Linked DNA regions of Astyanax mexicanus. The protein of the gene in region 1 purifies or fractionates together with the protein of each later gene. This does not show direct contact. Links are inferred from orthologs where the notes say so. Each region holds a gene or a part of one and is shown on either strand. Other genes may lie near its edges.

Region 1 (11,175 bases):
CAAAGTCTCATTTCCATAGGTGTACGAAATCAAGTTCCAAGTAATGCAGTCTTGGGACTTTACAGACCTTAGATAGAGAACGTGTGTTGCACTGTGTGCAATAGGAGGTCAGCTGGTGAAATTTATTCCCTACAAGATATTCCACAATAAGCTGTGAGTGGTTATTATTAAACAGTGAAAGCATTTAGGAACCACAGAAACTCAGCCACAAAATGTCTGATCATGTAAAGTTACAGAAGGGGTGTGCTGATGAGAATAGCTGATCAATGACTGCAGAGCTCCACACTTGCTGTTAGAGCTGCAAAGGGGGACCGACTGCACGCTAATGACTATGGTAAAAGAACAGAATGTGGTAAAACCTCCTGTAGGTATAATGTGTAGGTGTCCTTATACATTTTTTAATATGGTTCTATATGGCACTACTTTTAATATGGAATCTGCTAACAGCAGATAGAAGCAACATGGATGGTAGAATGTAAGGAGTATTTTAACTTAGTCTTCAGTCTCTGACCTGTGTAGGTGGTAGTTAGAACTTCCTCATATGACTCCTTTCCTACGCACCCCCCCTGGATTGATGTGACACTTTCTGACAAAACCTTTTGATCACAGAATAATGCAGATTAGTGATCAAACAACACTGATCAGCTATTTTGAAATCAGCAGAGAGTGTTAACCTGTCAGTGTCACACATACATTCTCAAAGCGTAGCGTGGGTTCGTTGGAGCTGTCCAATCCATAGACCTCGACTGTCCCATCATCTCTGCCCACCAGAATATCTTTCACACCATCACCCAGAATGTCAAAGGTATCGATGCACAGCACCCCTTAAGAAGATAATGAAATAAAAAGTTAAATTTAGTTAGAAATTTTTAAGTTAGTGTATTTTGTCTACATCCAAAAATATTGCAATAAATATTGCATATTATGAAAAGGTCTTTAAATATCACTTGTGCACTCAAAAAACATATGATATTTTCATTATATTTTTACAATATCACCCATCCGTAAACTCACCTACAAAACTGTTTTAAATTTCCACAAAGCTGTCTATAAGATTTGCCCCTACCTCCTTTTTTCTTCTCATTGTCCACCTCCCATTTAGAGACAGGAGCAGAACTGGTTAACTGGATCAGACCCAGTTTCCCATCAGTGGTTCCATACAGCACCTCCTCCCCATTCTTACCTACACATAAAACATACGTTGTGTCAACAATCATACACACACTCATATCTACATATTTCAATTACTATTTTGTACTGTTCTGCATCAGACCTAGGTTTCACGGCTCACCTCCATCTCTGTTGTGAAGCTCCAGAACAGATGGAGGTCCAGGAACCTCAACATCATATAACAGCTCAGAGCCCTTCAGGAAACAAGAATTCATACTGTACTATAGGATCAGATGTTTACTAAAATGTTATGAGTGAATAAGAATGTTTGAGTAGAAGAAAGGAAACACATGGAAAGATTGTGGATGACTCATTTTTATAGATAAGCTCAACTGGATTTTGTTTAAAGTGACAGTCTGTAAATTTTGAGGATTTGGAGGCCTCTCTGGTGAGAATGTGTAATTGCACAGAGCATGTGGTACAGTACTTTTAATGCAGGTTAATGTAAACAAATTGCTATGTAAAATTCAATTTTTTGAGTATATTGTTTTGTTCTTGTTCATTTATAGAATTCTGTCAAAATGGGCAGATTAATCACGTCCAACTAACCTACCAGACCACTCTGTTTTTAAATTGTTGTGCCGGAACACTGATATCATTCATTAGAATATTTTCCCCCTTATTCCCCCACTTATGACAAATACTACTACTTTCAATTTAAAAGACAAAATCTTAGGGACTGCTACTTCCAGTTAGCATTGTCTCATTCACCTGATACTAAGAGGCTTCTATTAGCTTTGAATGGTGATATTTAAACTGCTGGGCAGATAAGAGTTAAATTCAGTACAATCACCTGTAAAACACGAAGAACTCTGTCCTGACAGGCCAGAACAGGCACTGTACGGCCCACTGTTTCCACAGGTAAACAAACTATGTCATTGATCTTGTCTCCTGACAGGTAATAGTCCTGGTCTTTGCAGTCACAGTAGTGATTGTAGATGTAGCTGGCACAGACAAAAAGATCTGCTCCAGAAACATGCCTGCCAACAATGTATAAATATTAACGTTCAGGTCACGTACATCCATTGTAACCAGCATATAATGAAGCATATAATGAGCATATAATGAAAAAATAATGACTCACATGGCGTTAATGCTCTCAGTCAGATTGGCCTCAAAAGAAAGGAACTGTTTTCCCTTTTTGGTGAAGCCCCTGACCTCAGAGCCAGAACATACAAAGATTTTCTCCTGAGGGGTTCCTAAAGCTCCTCCCAGTTCTAGTCTGGAGATCTTCTGCCCTGGGAGACTTTTGAAAACAGGCTGGATAAAATAGAGTTTTTTTGCTTTAGCAGTAATTATATAATCTCCAATAGGTGAATAAAGTATTTGAACCATCATAAAGTCAATAATGTTAAAATAATTAAAACACGCACCACAGCCTCTCCCTTTTTCATCCCGAAACAGTTCACTACACCATCGTGGTCTGCAACAGCAACCTAAATGGAAGAAATCACAAAAAAAACATAACACTTAATAAAAACATCCAGTTAAAGCAAGATTATGTAACAATTTTATCTTACATTAGCAGCTTCAGAATCGTATTGATGTTCCACTGAGTGTAATAGGGAGAATGGTGCCTATGACATTGCCACTCTGAAATGTTGTTACTGTGCTATAATGTAACTTTGGTGGAGCTGCATAATACAAATGCTACCAAACACAAACCATATTTGTGTAAAAATAAAATAAATAATATTACTCTATGGGCTCAGCCCACATGCTTCTTTCTCATTCACAGATGCTGCTTTTGTATATGTCAGCTTGTTAAAAAATCCAAATGTAGAGCTGCTCCATGTAGTGTGATTTGTATTTACTGCTGTAGAGTAAAAGTTAATTACACTCCCTGGCTTAGAGAAGGATGCCTGGGGCAAATCCACCCACTTTTTTACAGCTAAGACTAAGTCTAAGACTAATCATATGTAATCATAGGTTTACATAGGATCTCCGGTGGATTTCGCATTTTACAGAGACTTTAAAACTAGGTTAGTGGCTGAACTGCAGTGTTGTTAGCCAATCAGAGTAGATTTTTGTATGTTTTCATGAGCAAGAGCCGAAATTCCCCCCACTCCTCCAGAGGACTCCAGAGGACAGTTTTATCGGATCACCAGAGCACTTCTTTCGTAAAAAAAATGGCTCGCATGGCATTCATTCATACTAGATATCACATTAAAGCACAGTTTTATTGGATCACCAGAGCACTTCTTTCATAAAAAACGGCTCACATGGCATTCATTCATAGTAGAGATCAAGAGACAATTTAAAAAGAATGAAAAAAAAAACAAGGAGTGAGACCATTAAAATGTTATACCATGCACATTTTATAATTCAAAAAATGTGTTTTAGATTAGAGGTGGGCGAATATGGACCTAAAATATTATAACAATGTTTTAGAACTACTTTAGATTTTGATGATGTGTTTTATTACATTGTTCATTATATTTGCTTTTTTTTTTACCATTTTTTTCATTGTTTTGGCTGCCATGCTTCATCATTTTGTATGTGCACTTGTGCAAGAATTTTATATTAATGGTTTGATAGCAATTGTTTGATGAATTCTGTAACTACATTCTTTCAATTCATTACCAAAACATAACAGTAATACAGATCAAGATTTGAAAGATAAAAAAAGTCAACTTACCTTTTGTGTCGCTTTTCGTCCCACTGCTGGTAACAGTTTCATGGTTTTCTGGGATGTTACTCCGACCTTGAAAGACAAATAAGAAAAAATAACTCCTGCTTATTCGTGCCAATAACATGGTGAACAGTTTACTAATGATAACTACTGTTTAAATTTTCAGTACTTATCACATAGCATTGGATAGTTTGGAGTCTCAAAAGTAGCTTCTTACCTGAAGATAATCAACGTGGTTTAAACTAAGTTCCATCTTCTCTGTTTTGATCACAGATGTGGGTGTAGCTGGCTGTAGATCACGGAATCTCAGTTACTGATTAGTCGATTAGCTTCAGAGCTGGGTGTTTCTGCTGTGTGCTGCCGGATAGTTCAGGTATCTGTCGTTTCCTCTAGTTTCTCGGAGGTTTAAACGTAGTCTGAAAGAAATGCAGTGTCTCAGTGAGCGGATTAACTCCTGGATTAAGTGCTGCTGACTGTCCTCGCTCCTCCCGCAGGTTCTAGCTGGAAGGCTAACTAAAGCTAACCTAAATAACAAGCCTAGTTAGCTTACATGCTACCCGCAGAAACAGATTTTTCCTTCGTGTGAGAGTTAACGCGGCTCGTTAGTCCTCTGGAAGGAGGTAAAAACCCGACATTAGCCCGTATTATATATCATTTTCTAGAAGAGCAAAAAAGCTTAGCGAATAGATTAATAAACATCCAGCAAAGCTAAGCAAGCTGCCCTCTCAGCGCCGCCATGTTTGGTCTCTGACGCATCCCAGGTTTCCATGGAGACAAACAAATTAGGCAAAAAAAAAGGAAATAATATTGCAGAAATACATATTAATCTGGAAAAGTTTTTTTTGGTCTCTAAAAATAATTCAATATCAATAATTTAATTTTTTTTCATTCTATGACTTTTATTTTTTTATTATTAAAACAATAAGTAATTTATCAGAATTAATCAAAATAAATATTTTGATCAAACTTTTATTCTCACAAGAACAGATTTTTTTTGTTATTTGTGCTTTTGAACTGTACAGACCCCTGAGCCATTCCACCAAATGTGTTCCTTTTTTGTCCCCAGGAAATTACATGTTACATGTGCACACAAAATAACGTTCAAATACATTTTATTATGAAGCATATTGTCTTGTACATGAATATATTTGCGCAATATTCATACATGCAAACATATCCACTCTGATTGGCTAACAACACTGTAGTTCAGCCAGTGACCTAGAAAACTGAAAAAATAGCATTTGTTACCTGTCCCCACTCTCTAACTATAAACTTTACCATGAAAAATAATGATTACAATTTTTCAGAGATGTAATTTTTTGCATTGTTGTAAGTCCATAATACTTAAGATAAAAGAACTAAAAACATTTTAGATGTGTCCCTGGGTTTCATTCATTCCTGTTACCGTAAAACATCTGAAACATCTGTAACGCTACACATCTACAACAGAAAGTTACATCAGATGGTTCTTCTGAAGATCATGAGAAGACCAAAATTAAGTTCCCCCATTAGTTTTTTTTTTTTGTATATTTGATCTTATTGTAACTATGACTGAGGAGGTCAATCTCAACACTCTGTCCTGTTACCTAAATTAATTCTTAGATCTTATTGTGGGAAAATCACTAGAATGTGCTCAGTGTCCTCATGCTATTGGCATTGCTGCTATTTAGCTATTTTTCATGTTTTTGCTAATTCTATGCTAAAAACAGTCTTGTTACTTTAATTCCTGTTACTTAAAACAAATAAAAGTAACAGGAATGTGTGCCAGAAACAGGACTGAGTTCCAGTAACAGGTGTAATTTTTTTGTCATTAATATCAACTATTTGAACATACAGTCAACCATTTCTTTAAAATAAACGCTTTCTTGAGAGAAAATCAATCAAAGAATTAGTGGACTTGCTTTTAAACATGCTTTTTAAATGTCAAATGAGTTTTGTAACCATCTTCAGCTTAGAAACCTTGTAAAGCTGCCTAAGATTGACCAGTACATGTATTGAATAGTTACATACAGGTGTTATTAGATTCAGAGTTGAAAAAAAATAAGTTTAATTTGGAAGAGTTACAACAAGCAAATGGCACCCATTCAGTGGGAAATTATTTTTAGAGACATCTGATTTAATACACTCAATACTATTACTTGTGGGAAGCACTGTACACCTAAAATCATTGTAAGTGTGAATTCAGAGCCCCAACCATTCAAAAACTGGAATGAACAATGATTCAACATCAGAATTTTAACATTAACTATTGGCTATTAGGCAATGTTAAATAAAGGTTGCTTTAATGTTTTTTTCCCTCTTCAACCTTAAAGAATGTTATGCAATGTGATAAATTAGGAAGTTGGGGATAAGGTGGGATGGTGATCATCCAACACCCTGACCTCACTAATGCTCTTGTTGCAATCAATTCCTTACAGCAGATGCAGTTACTCCAAAAGAAGCAGGGTCAGATTGGGGTAATGTTTCAAAAAGGCAAATAAGAGAATAATTTACTAAACTGAACACATGGTTTAAGAATCTACAAATGTTATTGTTCTTCCGTATAGCTGCATAGGAAGTGTTCGCTATGCTATTTTATTACAGAGCTCATGCTTCCCTCTGCTGACAACTTTTATAGAGATATGGATTTCATTTTCCAGCGAGACTTGGTACACTGCCCACACTGCCAAAAGGACCAATTGGTCTTATATAATATTCAACATTTCTTAGACACTGATTTTTGGGTTTTCATTGGCTGTAAGACATAATCATAAACAATAAAAAAAATGCTTAAATTAGATCACTGTGGGTACAATACATCTATATAATATGAGTTTCACATTTTTAACTGAATTACTGAAATAAATGACCCCATTTTGAAAATAATAATTCATTCAATTAACCTTGCCACCCTAACTTGCACTTTGCATAAAATGAATAAATTTTCTGTTTTTGTAGTTTTTATTTATTTATTTATTATATTCTTTATAAAGTTCTATACTTGTGTACACATTGTGTAGTCAAATCAATATATTTGATTTACTGATCTCTTTGCCATATCTGTATATTAGACTACTGCAATTTGTGGATTTTGCTCTTGGATTTATAAAGTTATCTAATCTAGTTGTCTTACCTAGTTGTCTTATCTGTGAATGTCATTTTTTATAAGGCTTAAACTGCATACATAGGTCTATATGTGGGTGTGTTTGCTTGCAATACCCTATCATGCTTATTATGTTCTGAATTAACTGCATTGTCTTGCTTATTTAAGTTTTAAGTTTTGAGATTTGGTATTGATAAAGATATCTAATGTTGTCATGTTCTTTCTTTTACATATCTTTGTGTATATTTTTAATCTGCGTAAGAGTAAGTCTATATTAATAAATATTATAAAGAAATATTATGATCATATTATGAATGATGATGTGCATTAGAGAACATGCATATTTTATTAGAAGCAATGTAAGCTTCTGATTAACGGGTTTCATGATTTTTTTTCATAGGCTTATTTATCCTAATTATAAGCAAATTCATGCAACAGCGTGCACAAAGCCTTCATCATCAAGCAGGTTACAAAAAATATGGACAAAATGCTCTTGCCGTAACAGCCTTCATCTGGTCTTGATGATGCCGAGAACATTTTGTCAGTTCTCTTATTGAATAAATCTCATGCAATATGAGGACACTTGAACAGACACAGTGTGATGGTCTGATACAACACTAGACAGCTGTTTTCATAGATATTATCTTCTCCCTCTGTTGAGTCTGTTTGAGAATGAGCATATGCATGCGTGTGTGTGTGTGTGTTTGTGTGTGAGTGTGTGCACTTTCCCCAGCGCATAAGTCAGGGCAATGAATGTCCTTCAGCACCAGGGGAGGGGTCAACACTCAGACACAGAGACGCAGGGGTTTGGAAAAGCTGCCTCATTCTGCCAGCAGCAGAGGACACTACCAGACCTCAAGGAGATGTGAGGACAAAGAAGATGGTCTGCTTCTACATGCGAAAACCAAGGATGCTACGCCTCAAACCTAAACATCTCCCTGGGGTGGGACCCCCCTGAAGAACCAGGGCGGTTGCATTCAATCCATGCTAACTGATGCCTGCTCCTAAGAAGTTCCTGGTGGCTTCCACCTCTATGCCTCTTGCGATGGAATGGGGCTGGAACGTGAGCGTGTATCTGGGGATCCTCATGCTCCTGCTGCTGCTGATGGGGCTCCTACTGTGGATGTTGCTGAAGCAGCTGAGGAACTCTGTAGGAAACAGCGCCCTCCACCCCAGCCGGTCCTTCAGAGGGCCACACTTTGGGTCCTTCAGGGGTCACAATTTCTGAGAAAGAGAGACAAGTATGGAAAATCATGCATTGGATGTAATTTTTCGCCAAAAAAAGCCTTTACAAACATCTTATATTGTTAAACTATGTTGGACAACCAGAGTGGATTATTATCCTGTGACTGAAACATGAAGTTCTGGAAGTGTCCAAGACTGACCACTGAAATCTAGCCAGCCAGCATTCCCAGCTTTTGAGGATAATTCAGATGAAAAACTGCATGTTTATGTTCCTAAATAGAACACAATTTCTTCTTGGGCTTTTTCTGGACCCAACTGCTGGATTGAGTGGCTGTTAATGTTCAGTGAATAAGAAAACCTGAAGAAGAGCTGTCTGGAGTAACGTTAATTAACATCAGCTGTCAGATAGCTAACCTATTTTTATCTGGAAGAAATTAGTATGAAGATTTCTATACAATTATTCCATACAAATTGTTTATTATTGAGTGAATTATAAGCTTTACTTTAAGTAAAACTAGACTATAAACTGTATTTTTCTGAGCTGTTTTTTTCTGTGTGGCTGACAGGTCTAGCTAGCTAACTTTATCATACTCTATAATCTGCTGTTAGCTAAGCTAATTGTTTCTATTGTCTTACTGAAAATGTTTAGTTTGTGTCCAATATTATGTTATGTAGCCACAGTTAGGTTATCTGTGTAGTGATTTTATAGTAGTTGGCCAACATTAGACTATCATTTGAGTTACTTAAGCTAGCAAGTTGCTATAGCTAGTCAACCAAATTAGGTTAGCTACCGAGCCCAGCTCACTAGCAGCAGTTATTCTAGCACGTCTGTTGTCTGAAACCCGTTTGCTCTAGACAAATGGACAAGTATAGGTACATTTTCTTTGCTTTTTTGCAACATTATTTTATTATTTATTTATATTATTTTGCTTTTCAAAATTAAAGAAAATTTCTGGCCAGGTGGATATTGCTCATTTTAATTCCCCTATTCACCCCTATTCATTTTGGACTCACTTGTGGGCTCCCTCTATTGTTTCACAGTAATTTTCTGATAAAACGGAGAAGAATGTGGGTAGGCTCTTCATAAACTGATTTTATATCATAAATTCGACTTTATATTGCCATTTTTTCCCTAATATTTGGAACATTACTCGGGACACAGTATTGTTTCTGATTACAATATGTTTAATGCGCATTGGTAAATATATATGGCTGCTGAATTATATGTCCTAAGTTTTACTATCTTCATTTTACCGGCTGCAACACATATATCAAATCTCCTACCAGCTAAGAAGAAGAACAAAGATTTTATTTTAACTAAATTATTTGCCATTATTGAACAGAGCTACTGTTAGACAAATAAACAGCAATTTTCTAAAAGAACATGCACAAAGATAATTGATGTTAAAATAAACAAACATACAAAACAGTTAAAAACTCACTGGGTTATGTTTTTCTCACTTTTTTCACATAAAAGCATGTTTTTTTTACCACACTGTTTTCCATATTATCAAATATTTTATTCCACATGTGATTATATTTTCTCTCATGTGACCACACTGTTTTTCACACCTAATCACATTTCCCCCCCCAGCGTGACCACACTGTTTGCCAGATGTGACTACACTTTTTTTCCACGTGACTAAAATGTTGTCCACATGTGAGCATGTCTGTTTACACATAATCCCACATGTAAGCATGTTTTTTATGATCTGACCATTTTTTTCCCTACGTTATTACATTTTTATCACAAGAGATACATGATCATGTTTTTATGTGATAATTTTCCCCAAGTGATCCACACTGTTTTCCTTAAGTGATCATGATCATGTTTTTTTTTACATGGTTATATTGTTTTCCACATATGATCACATGTCTTGTTTTTGTTTACGTAAAATAACATGATTTTTATTGTGTTATCTTGTGGCAATGTGCTTTTTAGACATACTGAAACACTGTATGTAGAATTAGATGTTTGCAATGTATTTAATACTTATTAATACTGGAACTCTAATAAACATGCTAACAATAATGTACAATAAAATACAAGCACTGCAGTCATTGCATTACTCTTGTTGTTTTTTTCATGTCATCTTGTGCATCATCTTTCTGCCAGTGTGTAGAATCCTCCAGATCTGGTAGCCTACAACAACAACCAAGCATGTAAACTTGATTTCTTCTTGTCTAATTGAGTCAAAGAGGCTGGAATATTGTTCATGTCAAAGGCAGATGTTCCTGGAAAAGGGATCAATGAATGTCCGTGCCAAGAGGTCAGTGAGGTTAACGAATCATAATGTGTCCTTGCTTCACTACTTCAGCCATACACTATCATAGACAGGCTCTTTTCACCTCTGGATCACGTCATTAACTTCTCCTTACACAACCAGAGCTGTGATGTGCTAACAGGTCCTCTTTCATGCTTACTGCAATTTCATGATTAAGGTGAGGCCTTCAGGCTCCATACAATGACAATTCACATGGAAGTCAATAACATTCTTACTTATACATTAGTTACATTTATTATTCATAATTTCATCAAAAGAAAGTGCCAAAGGGCTTTCTGTTGAATGTTTTAATAGGCAGTGAGGCAGAACATTATTAAATTATATTTGTGTGTGCGTGCGTGTGTGTTTGTGTGTGTGTGTCTGTGTGTGTTTGTGTGTGTGTGTGTGTACGTTTTAGGAAAGGTAAGAAAGAGAGAGTAAATGTTACCAGACGCCACACAGTGAATCGTTTGCAACAGTTCAAGTAACACTTCAGTGTGTGTGAGAGACACTGTGATTGTTAAAATAACAACCGACAACAAACTGGTAACTGTAAACATTAAATACATCACATACAATATAGCCCTTTATATACATGCTAGGCCTTCATTTAAAAAAGTAGGCCAATAAAAGGCACTGAAATTACAGTATCCTGTATTGTGATGTAAACTGTAAGCTTTTGAAAACTCTTGCCTGTGTTCAGGTTTTTTTACTCATAACTGATAGAACATAAAATAGAAAAATATTTTGTCACTGTTGGGCAAAAAAACTTTTTTTTTTTACATTTAGGCATAATGTGAATTTGGCAGTTGCTCATTCTATACTAACAAAATGTCAGAGAC
Region 2 (10,869 bases), on another chromosome or scaffold:
TACCAGGGAATACAGTCCTGGAAAAAAATAAGAGACCGCTTAAAAATAATGAGTTTCTTTGATTTTACCAAATTGAAAAGAGGAAGATGGATGATCACAAGCCATCAAACCAAACTGAACTGCTTAAATCTTTGCACCAGGAGTGGCATAAAGTTATCCAAAATCAGTGTGTAAGACTTGTGGAGGAGAACATGCCAAGATGCAAAGCTGTGATTAAAAACCAGGGTTATTCCACCAAATATTGATTTCTGAACTTGTTGAACTAAAACTTTATGAACTTGTTTTCTTTACATTATTTGAGGTCTGAAAGCTCTGTATTATTTTTGTTATTTCAGCCATTTCTCATTTTCAGCAAATAAATGCTCTAAATGAAAATTTTATTTGGAATTTGGGAGAAATGTTGTCCGTAGTTTATAGAATAAAACAATATTGTTTATTTTGCTCAAACATGTACCTTTAAATGGCAAAATCAGAGAAACAGATTCAGAAACTGAAGTGATCTCTTATTTTGTTCAGAGCTATATGTCTGGGGAGGGAGCAAGAAAGTGAATACAGAAAGAAGGATCTGGACTAATGCAGATTTCTGTGATTTTTAACATGGAGTAATAGCAGAGACAGCTTCTGAGTCTGCATCAGAGTGTGAACTACAGAATTTACACCAGCCCAAAAAATCACATGAAGGGTGAAAATGAGCCAGAGAGAGAACTATAATTTTAATCTGGATTAAACATGACAGGATCCTTACAGGGAGCGGGCCACTTGTTTGAGATTATCAGAGCTGGTGGGGTTTAGGATGGCACAGCTCTGGAACAGCTCTAGCGACTGCTGGATCTTCCCCTCCAAACGCAGGATCAGAGCTACACATATAAACAAACACATTATAGAAATATATAAGAACATGGAACAACTTTGAAGACAAAAATATGGCAGGCTATTGAGCTGCGATGGAACCAACCTTGGACATAAACAGCATATTCACACATGCCCTGAGTCTCCTGGAGCTGCTCTTTAATGATGGCCTGGAACAAGACAGGAAAGGGAACATATGAAACACCACATACTTCTTGTTTACAACACGTTCGCTGAGCACAGCCACCTTGTACACATCTCACCTTGCAGGTCTCATAGTCTTTGCGGATGTAGTGAAGATGAATGAGCCAGTTTCTCCTCTCTAGAATCGGAAGTTCTGGGGCTGAAACAGGAACACACAGATAGATCAAATTCAAAGTCAAAGTCAAAGTGGTTTTTATTGTCATTTCAGCTATATACAGAGTACACAGTGAAACGAAACAACGTTCCTCCAAGGACCATGGTGCACATAAACACAGTGTAGACAGAACAATAGTGCAACAGTACAAAAGTGCAGACAGACAATACAACACCATACAGACAAAGAATAATAAATAACAAGACAGTGTGCAAATTTTGCAGTGTGCAAAAAGGACCAGGTGAGGTAGTAATTACTCTATTACACAGTGTGCAATAGAGTCCAGTGAGGTAGTAGGGTTTTTAGTGCTTTCCATTTTCTGGGGTAAGTGGGGTAAGAGTGTGTGTGCATGTACAGAAAAAACATCATTTCAGTCTCTGCAGTTAAGGAGTCTGATGGCTTGGGGGTAGAAGCTGTTGCAGAATCTGGTCGTGCTGGACCGGATGCTGCGGTACCTTCTTCCCGAAGGCAGGAGGGAGAACAGTTCGTGTGAGGGATGAGTGGGGTCATTCACAATGCTGGTTGCTTTGCGGATGCTGCGGGTGGTGTAAATGTCCGTGATGGAGGGGAGAGAGACGCCGATGATCCTCTCAGCTGTCCTCACAATACGCTGGAGGGTCTTGCGGTCAGAGACGGTGCAGGTCCCAAACCAGGCAGTGATGCAGCTGCTCAGGATGCTCTCAATGGTCCCTCTATAGAAGAGTGTGAGGATGGGTGGAGGGAGACGGGCCTTTCTCAGCTTCCGGAGGAAGTAGAGACGCTGCTGGGCTTTCTTGGCTGTAGAGCTGGTGTTCAGGGTCCAAAAGCGAGTGATCAATAAAGCTTTACATGTCATAGTTCCTAGATTATTACCCCTGAAATTTTAGCATGTGTATTTTAAGCCTTTTGCAAAAGTTTGACAAAGCAATTAGCTGCGCATAACAGATCAGTCACACATGAGTAATACTTACAGAGCCAGACTAAAACACTCAAGACAGGGTGTTAACCCTTGAAATCTTTCTTGATAGATTTGCACCATAAAAAAGGGGGCCTTCTGTTCAGAGACATATTCAGCCTTTTGCCTCCAAAGTTCACTTCAGAGCATGCCTCATCTTCTAAAATATTAAGCGCCGACTTCAATAGACACAAAACAACAGGATTACTTAGCTCAGGGTTCAAGCTAAGTTCCACATTACTTAGTTTACACATAATCTGACGCAGTCTGACATGAATAAAGACATGCATGTTTTAGCGACTGCATTTTCTGACAGAAGGCACATTTTTCAGTGTCTCTGATAAGGAACACTCTGCCGCTGTGCTCCCTCCTCACTGCTGGAGACCATGTAAAGCTCCCCCATTCTAAACCCAACAGGCACCGCAACAAAGGAAGCATCTACAGTGAGGGGCTGCATCTGCATCTTACTTAGCTGGCTCATAAGGCTGCTGGCAAAATCTGATTTCAAGCAGTTCTATTCCTGGACAGACTTTTCTCCCTGAGCTGTAATCCTCTTCAAGGCTAATCGGAGACTGGAGAAGAAAACTCAGCCAATCAGCACCACCCACAGGAGGAAGGAGAGAATGGCAATTGAGACGAATTGGAGCAGGGACAAAGCTCTGAAACACTTTTTATACAAAAACCTTGCATCTTCAAATGACAAATTTACAAAAGTAGAAAAAAATAATCTCTCTTAAACTCTTAACGTGGAGGTCAATGAAAAAAATATTTTATTCCAAGTAATTGTGGAGCATTACTGTTGGTTAATTCCTCAGAAAGTTTTGATACAATGTAAACAACAACTGCAAGCGAAAAAAAAAATCTGCAAAAATTGAGGCATGCCAAGAATGAAATTCAATGAAAACAATGATATGCAAATGATATGCACATGAAATACAAAAAATAAGAATTAGTAGTAAATCTACCTGAAGTTTCATTACTATTAATCACACCAATAACTGCATAGTTTCTAGATGCAATGAAACGTATAAAACACATAACTGTTGCCACTACAGCCAAGAAGTCTATAATCTACCTATCAGCAAATCAATATCAAATATTTAATTAATATAATTTTGCGTCACGTCTAGTTTAGATCAAAGAATTTAATTAATCACATCATGAATCAAACACTTGTCACATTATTATAACTGTAATATCTTAATGTAAATAGAAGAGAATATGTCGCCGTAACATATATGGCCACTGTTTTAAGCCCTCTCTAATCTTCTTATAGGCTAAATACTAGATACTGGTGTTCAGCAGCTGTCTTTTTAATCTAACAAACCTTTTTTAAGACGAGGCTTCTTAGGGTCAGTGGCCACCGGCAGCGGAGCATCCTAAAACAAATAAATTCATACAAATTAATTTATCAAAATGTTCAGCATAAATGAATAACATAATACAATATTTCAATATTAAACAAATGCTAAACTTTTTGACTAATTTTACAGTGTGACTAGAGTACCATGTGATACTGTCAGATTATTTTCATGCACAAAGTAACCACTGTGTGAACAGAAAGACGATGTCATTATATATACACTGCATAGATACAAATAGGGATTAAAAATGGTATTAAATAATAGTTTATTTTGTTGGAGTAACTGTTTCTGCTCTCCATGGAAGGCATAATTCTGAAACATTGCCGGGAGGTTTTATTGTATTCAGCATTAGGTTAGTATTAGTAAGGCCCAGATGTTGATAAATTTCACCCATCTTATGCCTAACTGTCCAAATCAAGGCTTTTATTCCCCTCTAGCCCTCACATTGCACATTCTAATGACAGTAGACAAGCTGTGTATGCATTTCCAGCTTGTGTGAGCAATGGGTGTTTGTAACTTAAATAAGCTGAATGCAGTCATTAGAAGGAGTGTCCACAACCATTTGAACAAACAGCTCTGGAAAAAAATAAGAGACCATTTCAGTTTCTGAATCAGTTTCTTTAATTTTGCTATTTATAGGTATATGTTTGAGTAAAATGAACATTGTTTTTTTTCTATAAACTATGGACAAAATTTCTCCCAAATTCCAAATAAAAATATTATCATTTAGAGGATTTATTTGCAGAAAATGAGAAATGGCTGAAATAACAAAAAAGATGCAGAGCTTTCACCTCAAATAATGCAAGGAAAACAAGCTTATATTCATAAAGGTTTAAGAGTTCAGAAATCAATATTTGGTGGAATAACCCTGGTTTTTAATCACAGCTTTCATGCATCTTGGCATGTTCTCCTCCACCAGTCTTACACACTGCTTTTGGATAACTTTATGCCACCCCCGGTGCAAAAATGCAAGCAGTTCAGATTGGTTTGATGGGTTGTGATCATCCATCTTCCTCTTGATTATATTCCAGAGGTTTTCAATTTGGTAAAATCAAGTTTAAGTGGTCTTTTTTTTTGTACAGAGCTGTATAGTGTGGCTAATACCGTGAGCAGAGACAGGATGAATGAACTGACTGTCAGAAGGTGGGTAGCTACAGAAATAAGAGCTAACTAAAACTTTATTTTATGAAAGACTCGATATTTTAGTGTGTTCTCAATAGCCTACCAGCCCCTGCAGACGAGTAACAAGTACAGAAAGACTGAAATGAGCTTTACCACAAAAAACAGCCTAAACTGAGTTAACGGTAACGGTAGCATAAACACTAAAGCTTAGTTAGGCTTAGTTAGTGGCTGTATTTCAGACAGTCAGGCAGCTACAGGGGTTAAACAGTAGGTTATCTGAGACACTGTAGCTGTTGTTTAATGGGTTTAAATCGTATCATTAGCAGCGCTGCTGGCTAACAGACGCGCTTGATCTGCAGCTCCGCTGTTCAGACAGACCCTCCCAGCGAACCGCCCCGCTATATATATCCACTGCCCCGCTTCACCAACACACACTTTATACACAGCTACAGCTACAGAGTTTCACTGAGAGCCGCTGCAGCTCCATAGCCCCATTCTCACCGCTTTAACCGTCTCCTCATCAGCCATCCCTCCAGCTCCAGAAAACACACTTCCGGTTTCTACGCGGCCCCTGAAAACGCACGGCCGTTACCATAGTAACTAGTCCCGCCCCCATCCAAACGAGTCCAAAACGATTTTCTGTCAAAAGTCCCCCCTAAAACGTAATAAAACTCTGGTGATTAAATACTATGAACTAGTTTGATAATATATAGAGCTTAAAATAATTTAAAATCTACACATAAAATAATGTAGATAAAAGAAAAAGTATATATACTCATACATACCTGTCAAGTTTTGGACTTAAAAATAAGGGATTTTTTCCGCCGCCCCAACAGCCCAACCGAGGGCTAAAAATGTATATATATATATATATATATATATATATATATATATATATATATATATATATATATATATATGTATGTGTATATATATATATATATATATATATATATATATATATATATATATATATACACATATATATATATATACATATATACATATATATTTTTTTATTATTATTTAATAGATTTAAAATTGAAATTGAAGGGTGCACAAATTTACAAAAAGGACATGGATCAGATATATTCCATAAGTAAATAATAGTCCTAAGGGGCCTACACAATTAATAATCTTTCATTAATACTTCTTTCTATCATTCAGTCCACTCCTGATCAGTTCAGTTAATTTCAGCCCTCTCCACATTTTCTCTCTCTCTCTCCAGCTCAACCATCTCTTCTACCCCTTCTAAATAATACATTACACCACAATACTTGAGATTTAAACAAATTCTAACAAACCCTAAAACTAGCCCTGAACTAATAGAGTTTGGAAATTATATGTTTTGGCTGATCAGGCACATCAGGGCAGGGCATTATATGTATGTAGATTTTTCTCAAACCCTGAATATCTATCTAGCTAATTCTAAAGTTAAGCTAACTGAGTCACAAGCTGTATTTTATTAAACACACAATGGGTTGAATTTATGTTTTGATTCAGAGAAGAGTCTTTTTAACCAGCTATCAGAAACAATCTCATCACAGTTTACATGGTTAGTTACCTTTCTTTTAGAAAAATCTCCGTATATCCAGATTAGTTTTAACGACAGCTGCTCCGACTAGCTGCCTGAACTCACAGCGAGGGGAGGGGCGGGGCTGGCTCTGCCCGACACTAAACTGCGCTCCGCAAAACCAGCAATCTGATTGGCTGTTTCTCCTGAAAGGCGGGACTTTCTCCTTGAACCGGCAACACGATTGGTTAAGAGACACACAGTGCATTGTCGCCTGTGGCCTATATATTTTTTTTATTTAGTATAATACGGGAAATTTACGGGAAAATACTAATACGGGAGGACGACGGGAAAGAGGAGTAAAATACGGTAGTTTCCCGGCCAAAACGGGAGACTTGACAGGTATGTACTCATATAATGATGTATTGTTATAAAATAACTAAGTTCTGGAAGCAGGAACATGCCTGAAGAACCTCCCCATTCCAGTCTGACATCCTAAAAATTCCCTGGACCTCTGATATGCCATGGCAACTTTTCGCAAAAATTATTCAAATTGTCAACCATATAATTGTTTATATTTGCAGTTCACGTGCATGCACCAAATACTCTGCACTTTAGTATTTCGGTAGCTTTTTTCGCTCTTTTACATTGTTTTATTTACATTTTGATTTGTTGATATGTTATTATTATTCTTATTATTATTCTTATTCTTGTTTTGTAGCTGTTGGTACAAAATATTACAAAAAAGTTTAGATTTTTTTGCTCCTGCTAAATGTTTGAAACTGTTATACAGTGGTGCATAAAAGTTTGTGAATACCTTAGATTTTTTTTTCTTTTCAGCTACTGTATAATATTGAAGAAGTAAATACAGACCTCAGGCTCTTTCAGTTTAGTTTTTTTTTTTTAACTGAGACTGAAAAAATCACCATCAGGTGTCGCTGTTCAGCGCCGAGGCAAACAGTTATCACACACTTTCACTGTTGCAGCTGATATTATTACACCGTAGCATATTAGATATGTCGTTGTACAATGATATTTTGCATTCATATATAAAACCCCCTGTTGTCTTTGGGTGGAGTTTGTATTTTGTTGTCTTGAGTCACGTGACAGCTTAAGTTAGTCCTATATAACGCACAGTGTAAAACTCTTAAGACGTCGCATCTGATCCCCATGTATCGTTTATTTATTAATCTGTATATATCTGTCTATTACTGATGAGTTTACTTTATATTTTTATAGTCCATGAATTAACTAGCTATATTTGTATAGAGTACTTTATCATTTTATAGAGTTCATAAGTTTACCTAATATTTTTAGAGTTCATAATTGAATTATATCTTTTAAAAGTTCATAAGTTTACTTTATAATTTTTATAGAAATAAAGTTTCCTTACATTACACTTTCATTAATTATTTTTTTATAAGTTTAATTAACTTTTATAAGCTTAATTAGCTTAATTAAGACTTGTTACAAACCCATTTAAAAGTAAGTTTTTTGCATTGCTTAATCCTGTTTCTTATTACATTATGTTGTAAAAACTTTGAATCTTAAAGCTGCATTCTATGAATAAAAAGTGCTTTATAAATAAATAAATAAATAAATAGATAAATTATATTATTGTTATTACTCTAGTCACATATTCAAATATTATTTAGTTCTTTAAATTATTAACAGCATTCACACCAGTTTTTTAACTTTTGATTTAACTTTAAATGTACTTTATTAGATTTAAAGCTTTAAAAATATTAGCTTTTAAAATGTAATAGAATTACACAGTCTCAGAATTAGATTTGAATTCTCAAACGTTTAAATGTTCAAATAATCAGAAATAAGCATTCAAGAATGTTTTTATGAATCTTTAGGGTTCAAGCACCGAAGGTGCGTAGAACCCTATTGTTTTTGCTAAAATTTTTAGGGTTCAAGCACCGAAGGTGCGTAGAACCCTATTGTTTTTGCTAAGATTTTTCTTCTTCTTCTTCTTCTTATTATTATTATTATTATTATAATTATTATTATTATTCTTTTTCCTCTGAAAAAGCAGTTGTGCAGCCTAAACTGTAAGTCGTAGAGATATGAAACTTGGTAGGTAGATGTAGGATCAGTGCATCTCGGCGGACAACAAAAATGGCACCGATTGGTCAAGTGGTGGCTCTATAAACAAGGAAATTCATTTTTCACATTTTTCTCAATAACTCAAAAACCATAAGACCTACATTCACAATTCTTTTTTTGATGGATTCCTTGGGCCAATACCTACAATCATGCACTTCCGTCTATATAGATTTTTTGCTAATTTGCATAATATGCAAAACATACTTTTGCGAACTAGTCCTAGGTATTTTGACCAATCCTGACATGTTTGGTATCAAAATACTCAGGAGACCATGCTCTTCAATATTCATCAAAAATGTTGAAATTTGTACACAATATGGCCGTCATATGCAAATTAGCCCTTCCGGATATATGCCCTATTCACTCCAACAGTTAAATTTGGAGCACTGTTTCTCAGCAACCGTGCAACCTAGCAAGCTGAAAATTTGCATACAGAATATATCATATATCCTCTAAAGGATGGTCAAAGGGCAACTGAATCAATCAACATGGCTGAACACCATCAGCCAATCAGCATTCAGCAGACATTTTGGCAGGCTGAATGTTGAACAATCTGGATCACATTTGGCAGTTATTTTCAGGTGGAGACACTGTAGTGACCTGCACAGTCCTGAAACAATCCGGCCACTGGGGGACATAAACGAGTATATGTCAATCATGCTGTACTATTTTGACATCACATTATTTTTGCCATATTTAGTACAGTGGCTCTGACAAATTTGTCAATACAACTATGTTTAAAAAGTGCTTTGTTTATTCATAATTGCTAGTTGTTTGAAAATAGCTATATTGAAACTGGTCTCTGGATATTTGGCATATCACCTCCATTTCGGTTATGTTGCACACTGTAGAGTCTCTAGGTAAATGTTCATTAAAAACATTTGTGAAAATTTCACATACAATACTGTCCAGGCATCAAGCAATCTGTGCGTCCTTGGAATTTCTAACCTAAATTGCTGTAACTCTGCAGTATTTGCTGTAATCTCACAATGTTAAAGACCTCTGTACAAAATCACTCTGATGAAGCGCCATTTAATTCAGAACTAGATTTAGAATAACTTTGTAATTACATGTCATATCAGAACATGCACTCCTTTGTGCCTCTTCTCAACATTAATAACAGGTGAAAGACTTTTGATCATTTCTAAATGTGACAGTGTGTCTCCAATTATGCTAGACCTTCTTACACATCATCATCCTATGCTCTAGTAGGCACCATTGTGCCAGTTGGGGCTCGATGAAGTGCCATTTAATTCAGAACTAGATTTAGAATAACTTTGTAGTTACATGTCATGTCAGACAATGCACTCGTTTGTGTTAATTTAAACTTGTTTAGTCAAACATTTCAGCTTGTTTTGCAAAGGTCAAAAGGTCAATCTGAACACCACTTTGGGAACATTCTGGTTGAAGCCACCTGATCAATACCCATAACATGTAGACACCTTTTGACTAGTTCTAACTCACTTGATGAATATCCTACAAACTTCAATAGATTTGTATGTGAATTTAAGCACTGATCATGTTGAAAGGCCTCTGCTCAATATTAATAACAGGTGAAAAACTTTTGATAATTTCTAAATGTGACAGGGCATCTCCAATTACATTAGACCTTTTCACACATCACTATTCTATTGGTGCTTGAACCCGCAGATTGCCGCTTGCATATATTATTATTATTGTTATTATTATTATTATTGTCCCTTAGTTTAATTTTTCTCACTCTTATCACTCTGTAACACATTTCCCAAGATCTACTTTGTTGAAAACGTTATTACACATATAAAGAAATGTTAATTTTCACTTTAAAGAACTTTCTGTACATTTTATACAGTTTTCTGTGGTGTGGGGGGGGCGCCTTTTTGCATTATACACAGTACTGCCTGGTTAAGGTGGATGATAAAGTGGTTAAATAACACATTTTTAAAATGATGATTATATTATTACATTTTTAGTTCAAACATTCAGTTTTAAATAGTGTTGCAGCTGTTTAGCAGGTTAGCATTTAGCTTGGCACTAATTACCTGGCGCCCACTGTAGTTGGTATAGCATTAGCTTTTTGCCTCCTTTTTTAGCAGTTCCGATTCAATATATATGTCAGTATATTGCAGTACTGTAAGCAAGGCAATTTATTATTATTTTTAAAATCAGATTTTACAAAAATGCTGATTGTATAAAAACACTTATTTATGAAATGTGACTAAAAGAAAAGGGTTGTTTTTTCAGGACTACAGTATATATTTAAGTTAAAGCATGTATATTAGGGTTTTTTTATTCTTTTACCTTAAAGGCTGGCAACTCTTTCTCACACATACTCTTGCTGGTTTGCATCTAATTCTATGTTTCTACCTTTTTTAAATAGGGCTAGTTTTTTTTCTCTTAACACTTTTAAAATCATATTAATCTAATGAGATGGGGCTTAAAGCAGCTTTATATAAGATTTATTTCTTTTATCATGTAAGCTTATAAAATGGAGCTCAAAGCAGGTTTATGATATTCCCCTGTCAAGAATGTATTTGTGCTTTGAATCACCACTGAATACATATCATATTATATGTTGATTACACTCAGAGACTGTAAAAAAAGATGGACGTCGTGTCTCCATTCCCATTCGTTCAGT

The links.
Region 2: the proteins of bbs7 (region 1) and bbs4 purify together in Homo sapiens (co-immunoprecipitation; 7 studies listed by BioGRID and IntAct, counting the BioPlex papers as one, with this or other methods). This does not show direct contact. The link is inferred for Astyanax mexicanus from reciprocal best matches to the Homo sapiens genes BBS7 and BBS4.

What each region holds. Positions count from the first base shown.
Region 1 is NC_064417.1:25,282,321-25,293,495, forward strand, and holds the start of bbs7 (Bardet-Biedl syndrome 7 protein), read right to left. Parts: upstream 4,567-11,175; 5' UTR 4,056-4,566; coding exon 4,020-4,055; intron 3,877-4,019; exon of another isoform or gene 3,875-3,876; coding exon 3,809-3,874; intron 2,607-3,808; coding exon 2,544-2,606; intron 2,431-2,543; coding exon 2,255-2,430; intron 2,151-2,254; coding exon 1,964-2,150; intron 1,365-1,963; coding exon 1,292-1,364; intron 1,184-1,291; coding exon 1,067-1,183; intron 825-1,066; coding exon 694-824; intron 597-693; coding exon 512-596; intron 1-511. Other genes in the region: small integral membrane protein 43-like, read left to right, coding at 7,879-8,112.
Region 2 is NC_064409.1:48,862,223-48,873,091, forward strand, and holds the start of bbs4 (Bardet-Biedl syndrome 4 protein), read right to left. Parts: upstream 5,229-10,869; 5' UTR 5,156-5,228; coding exon 5,129-5,155; intron 3,521-5,128; coding exon 3,469-3,520; intron 1,193-3,468; coding exon 1,113-1,192; intron 1,020-1,112; coding exon 956-1,019; intron 858-955; coding exon 746-857; intron 1-745.